Linked DNA regions of Mus musculus. The protein of the gene in region 2 interacts with the protein of the main gene of each other region in a pairwise test. Links are inferred from orthologs where the notes say so. Each region holds a gene or a part of one and is shown on either strand. Other genes may lie near its edges. The genes, in order: Tmem30a and Atp10b.

Region 1 (3,825 bases), on a different chromosome or scaffold from region 2:
ATCTAGATCTCTGGAAAAATAATGAGCTAGTCCTAATTACTAATTAAAAATTCTAGCCTTGTATTTTCCTCACTCAGAAAGTATATGATGAGTCTGTAAGGAAACTAAGCTCTAAACACTACATTTAAATACTCAAAATATTCTTTAATATTACAGTACTTTTTAAATAAAATGTTTGTTTACCTGTACATAGCTATATATCACTTATCGATTTAATATTTTTCTAAGTGCTGTGATTACAGGTATGCATCACCATGTCTGGCTGTCTATAGTGTATTGTAAGACATACAAAGGGTCTAAGAAATGAGAAACTAGTCCAGTCTTCAAATGTTTGCCCTATTGACAAGATGACATAAAATACTTATGTACTAAACACCACTATGGAAAGCTCAACAGTCAGGAAATTAGGATACCATCCATGGATTCCCGAATAGAGCATGAGAAAGGGAGCTTGTTACACATAACCTATAGTTCTACTCCTACAAACACATAGAGTAGATTTGAGAATTCTGAAAGCTTTACATTTTTGCTGCTTAGTCTTCCCACAGTGAAAAGTTTAAAAAAACAGGACAGTTATTCAGATTTGAAGCACAATCCCAGAAATTAAAAACAGTTCATCTGCATATCCCCACCTAGCGTAAGAATAATGAATCAACCCCATAAGAACACACTTACACATCTAAAATACTAGACTCATCAAAATCCCATTACAAAGAAATAAAGCCAAACTCCCAAGAAATAAACAGGCAGTAGTGGAATTGAGAAGCTATTTTGTGGGCATTCAAGAAAAAGCATTTTAAATAAAAATTTCTGTTAAAACTAGAAATGACAAGTAATTCTTTAATCTCCTCTAAGATTATTAAGTCCTTAATAACATTTCTGAATGAATATTTACAACACGTTCTTACTTCACAGATAACCACATATCTGTATCTCATCATTACTTACAAGCAAAGCACTAGGGTCTCCATTTAACTGGCTATCATCTCGAGATTTCACGTAGCGACGATGATTTTGATAGAAATTAGACAGTCCATAATACATAAACACATTGCCCTAGAGAAAACAGAAAGGGAAAACCTTTTAACATAAAAGTTAATATTTGTTTTATATGTATGTAAAATGTAAGCAATTTACACTTTACTAGTTTACAATTTATGATAAACAGGTACTGAGGTTAAGTAGCAACTAAAATTGTACAATTAAATATAAATCAACTCACAGTAGAGCAACTATACTCCAGTTCTTAAATTCTCAGGTAAGTTTTAAAAGAAGGGGAAAATACTACCACAAACAAATCAGGTATTGACTAAGTCCAAAGCACACTCTATTAATTGGCTTAGCAAATCTGTTTACCAAGTACTTAGTAAGCACTAGGAGTACAGCTCAGTAAGAGTGTTCGCCTGGCATGAGCATGTGTAAAGCCCTGAATTCAATCACCAACACCACAAAACATAAGCAAACAAACAAAAAATAAAGTGTGCAACTGTAAATAAAGTCCAACTATTTTAAACTTCTCAACTATCCAACAAGTATTGCGTGCAGTCTGGAAGAGATGGCTCACTGGTAAAGAGACCGTAGTGTGAGCATGAGAGCCTCAGTGTGGATCCCAGCACCATCATGCAGCAGTCATCTATAAACCCAGCAATGAAGGGCAGCCAGGGAGGAGACAGGCAGGAACTTTCTGGCTACCCAGTCTAGCTTAAATGAGAAGCTCCAAGTTCAGGGAAAGACTGGTCTCATGAAATAAGGAGACAAAGGAAGACATACACATGTCATACTACACACACACATACACACACACACACACACACACACACCCCACACCACAAAATATTTTCATTAAAAAATAATATTGAAAAATATTAGTGTGCTCTGAGCTACAATATAAAGTTTTACTAATTCAACTTGGTTTTCATCCAATTAGCATCTGCCTTTCAGAAGAATGATTAAACTTTTGATTTATTATCCAAATAAGTTATAACTGGAATGAGAATACACAAATTCAGAAGATGCTATATATACTACTCTTTCCTATTTATTAAAATTTGTTAGTATACCAAATATTTCACAATGATTTACACATAGATTTTACTTTACTCATGACACTTCCTCCTGTCTTGCCTTGGTTCCTTCTGCCCTCCAAATAGTCCCCAGGATACTACAGACTATTAGCAATTAGTAAATTAGTAGTTATGAAAATACACTGTTATATTTTATAATAATAATCAAGAATGGTACTCTAATGGAGGTAACTTCAAATATCTTGGAAAAAAAGTAATAAACATAAACTGAATGAACTACAAGGTGCTAAGAAACCAAATAACTAAACAGGTTTAAAAAAATGTTATTTTCTGCTTTCTGATTAAAACTTCTATTTTTATATTCATATCTTCAATTAAAAGTAATTCTGTACACACAGAAGTTGATTTATTTGATTTGCTAACTTCATAGACATTTAAAGACTGAATATTGACGTGTTCTGGTAGCAGAAGCTTGCAATCCCAGCACTTAGGAGGCAGGTGAAGGATCATTAATTCCAAGCCAACCTGAGCTACACTGCAAGTCTAAGGTCAACCTAGAATACCTGAAATCATGCATCAAACTGTAAATAAATGAATGAAAATACTGTTAAGTAGCAAACAAAAACCTTTTCCATTCTATATAAAAGGTGTTAAAATGGAAATCTTTGGGTGAATTGTATCAAATTGTATGACAAAAACATGATAAATATGTTTAGGAAAAAAAGAATAGCATCTTAATTAAGAACAATAATAGTAAATTCAATCTGTAAACTGAAAAAGGAATACTCTCTACCATTTCTGATACAAAATTAACTTTTAAGTTCCCAGAAATGGTTTTAGTCCAATTAAAAAATCTGTGAAGAAACAGACATACAAAGACAAAATGGCCACTTTAAACAGGCGATCTAAAGCCGGGAGCTTGGTTTGCTTGTTTGCTTGTGTGTTTGCTTGAAGACAGGATTTCTTTGTGTAACAGCCCTGGCTGTCCTGGAACTTTGTAAACTAGGTTGGCTTCAAACTCAGAGAGATCTACCTATCTCTGCCTCCCAAATTAAATGTTTTGAATAGGGAGGAGATAAAGGAACCTCTAACTTTTTCAAACCCTCTCATTTCAATTCTGCACAGAACCAAAGCTGACTGCATCTTTATAGTATGCCCACCACTGCACTTGTCAGTCTTCTCCCAAGCCAGTTTTCATATCTCAGTCCCAAAGAAACATTTACCTTAGTGTAAGAGCATCTATAACCTCTAGATGGCTCCCATCCACCAGAAACTACTAAAGTTATCACTACATATAGAAAATCTGAATGAGGACTCTCAAACCTTGGTATGTATCATGACAGCTTTGTTTCCTGAAGAAGGTCGTTAGGTTCTTTTGTTATTTTTTGGTTTTCTGTAGGCTTGGCTGTCCTAGAACTCGCTCTGTAGATCAGGCTGACCTCAAACACACAGGAATCTGCCTGCCTCTGTCTCCTGGGACTAAAGGCATGCACCACTCCTGAAGAATGTTTTTAAATTCAATTTTCAGGTATAGGGTAAAACAAACTGGTCTCTATCCAAGCCAATTCTGAAATTTTATGTTCTATCCCATATGCTCATTTACCAAAATTAGAGACCAGAACTAATGCCACATAGGCACGAATGTGCATACTCACAACCATACACACATGTGCACACAGGGTAGGGCCCAAATACCAAACTATAAAAAAAATCAATAAAGTTTTAACAAGTGTTTGATTTTTGGGTACTGTTTCACACCTCAAAAATAATGCAATTAACTAATGGGACGACCAATGCTGTC
Region 2 (4,267 bases):
TGCAAAGAGGACATCATATTACCCTATCTACTTTAAAGGGCTTTTAATAAATGTTATGTGATATAAAAATTGGTTTTGCATACACAAAAGGGTTCTGAAGCATAACAGTCGTCAATGTTAGTTACAAATTTTAACAAATCTTGGGATTTTAAGGTAATATTTGATTTATAGTTAATACATGTGCATGTGTACATGTGTGCATGCCAGATGTTGATGCTTGGAGTCTCCCTCAATCACTCTCTACTTTATTAATGAGGAGGGTCTCTTACTTGACTCAGAGCTCATTGATTTCACTGATCTAAACAAGGCAATTTCACTCCGGGGCTCCCTTGTCTCTCTCTGTCTCCTAAGATCTGGGTCTACAGGCAGATAACTTCCCACTTGCCCAGATTATACAGAGGTTCTGGGGATCTGAACAGTCTAGTCCTCATATTTGGCTCAGTGAATATTTACCCCTCAGTGAGTTATCTACCGAGGGTGTCTCTTTATCTTTTCATCCAGTCATGTCTGAATTGTTACTTCTTCAAGGGAGTCTTGGCTGACATTGCTCTGTTTACCAAATTCACACTGTAAAGTACCACATACCTTTCTTTGCAAGTATTTTTTTTTCTAGTTATAGAATTAAGTCAATTTGGCAATTTAAAAATTAATGTATCTCCTTCACTAAATGGGGCAAACAATGAGTTCAGTCTCTTCTTTCCATATATGTTTACTACGCAAACACATGATGTGATAAGTCAACACTTGATAAATGAGAGGAGCTTGTTCCATATGTACATTTGGATATCAAAGAGAACTGCATCATCTCAGCAGCAATGCTAGGCCATGGTATATATTGTTGGGAGACCCAGCTGCATACCTATGAAACTGCTCAAAGAGATTCTGGGGCAGGAAGGTGAGGAGAGTGTACTTGGTTGTACAGATGCTGTTGCCTGGGTACCTCCTGCAGACCTTCTTCCAGTCCTGGTGACACATGCTGTTGTTGGGGTATACGACCCGCTGCTCTGCTGTGTTGTGGCTCTGTCTGTCTGTCTCTGGAGAAAGCAGTGGTGTGGTTTCTGATGGAGATTGGGAGAAGCCATCTTGGGTTCGCCATTTCCATCGGAGCCAAGAAAAGTCAAGAGAGCAAGTCATTTCTGGGATCAGGTGACAATAGTCTGCAAACACACAGGAAGTTGCTGTGATCAGGAGAGCTGAGTGGAATGTGAACACAAGAAGTCACTATGGTAAGGAGGATAATACAACATGGCATCTCTTCTTTTGTACATGTAGAGTTCAATCTTAGAAAAATAGAAAAAGTTCCTGCGATGCATCTGTTTTAAGGTCAGATACATTAAGTAAACAATAAAAAAAAATTATACAACTACCACAAGGATCAGCATTGTGAAAGCAAGTGATGGTGTCAGTGTGGCAGTTGTTGATGACATGGTTGATGATGTCATGGAAAAGCCAAATTGTGGTCTGCAAAGATGGGATGCTAGGAGGCTAAATTTGGCTCATTCTTAACAGTAAACGTTCTCCATTCACCTTGTTCATCTTCAACATAAAAAGAAGAAAGAGGGGCTAGAGAGATGGCTTAGTGCTTAAGAGTGCAGTTCTTACAGAGAACCCAGGTGAGTTCAGTTCCCAGCCATCAGATGGCTGCCAATTACATGCAAATCCAGTTTCAGGGGATCTGATAGTCTCTTCTGGGCTCTGTAGGTACTAGGTATACACATCATATACATACATACATATATACATTCAAGCATGTACATATAGACACATGATATAAAAATAAAGAAACCTTTAAAATAATGAATTGGCTTTTAAAAAATGAAGAAAGCTATTTTTACCATCCTTTGCTCATGTGGTTAATTTAAATTTTTAATGTATATGTATAGATATGTATTTTACCAGCATATTTGTCTGTGTACCATTTATGTGTCTGGTGCCTGAAGAGGCCAGAAGAGGTTATTGGATGTCCTGGAACTAAACTTACAGACAGTTGTTAGTCACTATGTGAGTGTGAGGATTGAACCTAGGTCCTCTGGAAGAATAATCATATTCCTAATACTATCCATGTAGGAACAAATTTGAGAGGAACAAATTGGGAAGTACATAAAATTGTGTTGACATATTTTAAGACAAAATGAGAAATGTTTATATTTTAAATACTTTTTAATTGAATTTTTAAAAAAATTAGTTAACATATGGCTGGACGGTGGTGGTAGACACTTTTAGTTCTAGCACTTGAGAGAGAGAGGCAGGAGGATCTCTGTGAGTTCAAAGCCAGCCTGATTTAAAGAGAGAGTTCAAAGATAACCAAGCCTACACAGAGAAATCCTGTCTTGAAAAACCAAGAACCAAAAATTAAATTAAATTAAGTTAAAAAGTTAGCATACTATGTAATGGGTTTTATTATAACATTTTTATCCATATATGTCAACATGCTTTGTTTTAATTGCTCCACCCACTCTCTCTCTGCATGCCCTATGTACTTCCCCCTTCTGGTCCACTCCTTCTCCCTCCAGAGTTGCCTCCTTCAATTTCCATGTCACATGGATTCCATTACCAAGAGTTCTTTAGTCTTTAGGATTTCTTTGGCTATGAACATTTTAACCTTACAAAATTTCAGAGCAGGACATCAAATGGATGGGTCTGGGGACATAGCTTGTAGGCAGAGTACAAAAAGCAAGAGGCATTGGGTTCCACCAAACATAAACCTATTCCTTAGTTAAGGTTTTACTGCGGTGAACAGACACCATGGCCAAGGCAAATATTATAAAGGACAACATTTAATTGGGGCTGGCTTACAGGTTTAGAGGTTCAGTTCATTATCACCAAGGCAGGAGAATGACAGCATCCAGGCAGGCCTGGTGCAGGAGGAGCTGAGAGTTCTACATCTTCATCTGAAGGGTGTTAGGAGAATACTGGCTTCCAGGCAGCTAGGATGGGGTTTTTAAGCCCACATCCACACTGACATACCTACTCCTACAAGGCTACACCTACTCAAACAGGGCTACACCCTCTAACAGTGCCACTCCCTGGGCTGAGCATATACAAACCATCACAACCTGGTATAGAGGGCATTCGTCCATAATCCCAGCACTCAGGAGACAGGCAGGAGGACTAGCAGTTCAATGTCATTATCAACTATACAACAATTTGAATGGCAGCCTAGTAGGTTTTATAGGTTCTCTCTCTCTGCGTCTCTGTGTCTCTGTGTCTCTCTCCTTTTTCTTTCTATCTTTCTGTTTGTTGTTGCTGTTGCTGGTATTTCAATGAGAATGGAAAGTGGAACAGCGCAGAAAGATACTTTTCAAGGACACCTGGACATGCAGTGACTAGGCTGTGGTGACCACTGCTTGTATCATAAATGTAAGCTGGTCTTTTCTATCATCTTTGTCTTGGGGATTATAATTCCATTTGGTATATCTCACACCTGAGTGCCTGGCCAAGAAGATATTCTTCCTAGATGGCTGATTTGATTGTTACTATATTTGGATTAAGACATGTCTAGGGTAGCAGTTCTCAACCTGTGGGCTGTAACTCCTTTGTCAAACCTCTGATTCCAAAAATATTAACATTATGATTTATAACAGAAGCAAGGTTATAGCTATAAAGTAGCAATGAAACAAACAATTTGTGCTCCATAATATAGGAGTTGTATTAAATAAATGCAGCATTCAGAAGACTGGGAAGCACTGTTCTGAGGGATGCCTGGGCACCGATGGCTCCGGCTCCGGCTTGATGCATTTGCACTGTGACAGTATTATTGTGGGGTGGTGAAAAGTAGGAGGCCAAGCCTCTTTGCAGATAACGTAAGTCTCTGGGCTGTGACTTGTTTTGGCCTCAGCCTGTGTAATCTTCTCTTTTTGCTTCCTATCCATCAGAATAGGAAGAAGAGAGGCTGGGGCCCAGCTCTAGTGGTTTTAGAACCTGAAGGAGGATGTATGGAGTCTGTGAAAGACTTGGACGGAGAAGAGCAGTTCATACACTCTGGCACGGAGACAGCTCAGTTTACCTCTATTCCCATATCTATTTTTTTTCCACAGCTGAAAAGTTTTATATTAATTTTTTTATGAACAACCTCTTTTAAGGACCTCCTACATTTGCAAATAATGTGCACACTGTACTTTTCCCTTCCTTCTCTTCCTCAATCCCTGCTTTTTTCTGGTAACCCATAATCCACTTGGCCTCAGCAATCAGTTAATATTTAACCCAGAACACAGGTACATAGCCAAGTGTCTGTAGTTGGCAGCAATTGCAGTTACAGTATAAAGAA

What was found.
Region 1: the proteins of Atp10b (region 2) and Tmem30a interact in a protein complementation assay, tested with the Homo sapiens proteins (2 studies listed by IntAct, with this or other methods). The link is inferred for Mus musculus from reciprocal best matches to the Homo sapiens genes ATP10B and TMEM30A.

What each region holds. Positions count from the first base shown.
Region 1 is NC_000075.6:79,776,276-79,780,100, forward strand, and holds part of Tmem30a (cell cycle control protein 50A), read right to left. Parts: intron 1,057-3,825; coding exon 949-1,056; intron 1-948. UniProt on the Homo sapiens protein: Accessory component of a P4-ATPase flippase complex which catalyzes the hydrolysis of ATP coupled to the transport of aminophospholipids from the outer to the inner leaflet of various membranes and ensures the maintenance of asymmetric distribution of phospholipids.
Region 2 is NC_000077.6:43,148,482-43,152,748, reverse strand, and holds the start of Atp10b (probable phospholipid-transporting ATPase VB), read right to left. Parts: upstream 2,873-4,267; 5' UTR 2,797-2,872; intron 1,158-2,796; 5' UTR 1,135-1,157; coding exon 860-1,134; intron 1-859. UniProt on the Homo sapiens protein: Catalytic component of a P4-ATPase flippase complex, which catalyzes the hydrolysis of ATP coupled to the transport of glucosylceramide (GlcCer) from the outer to the inner leaflet of lysosome membranes.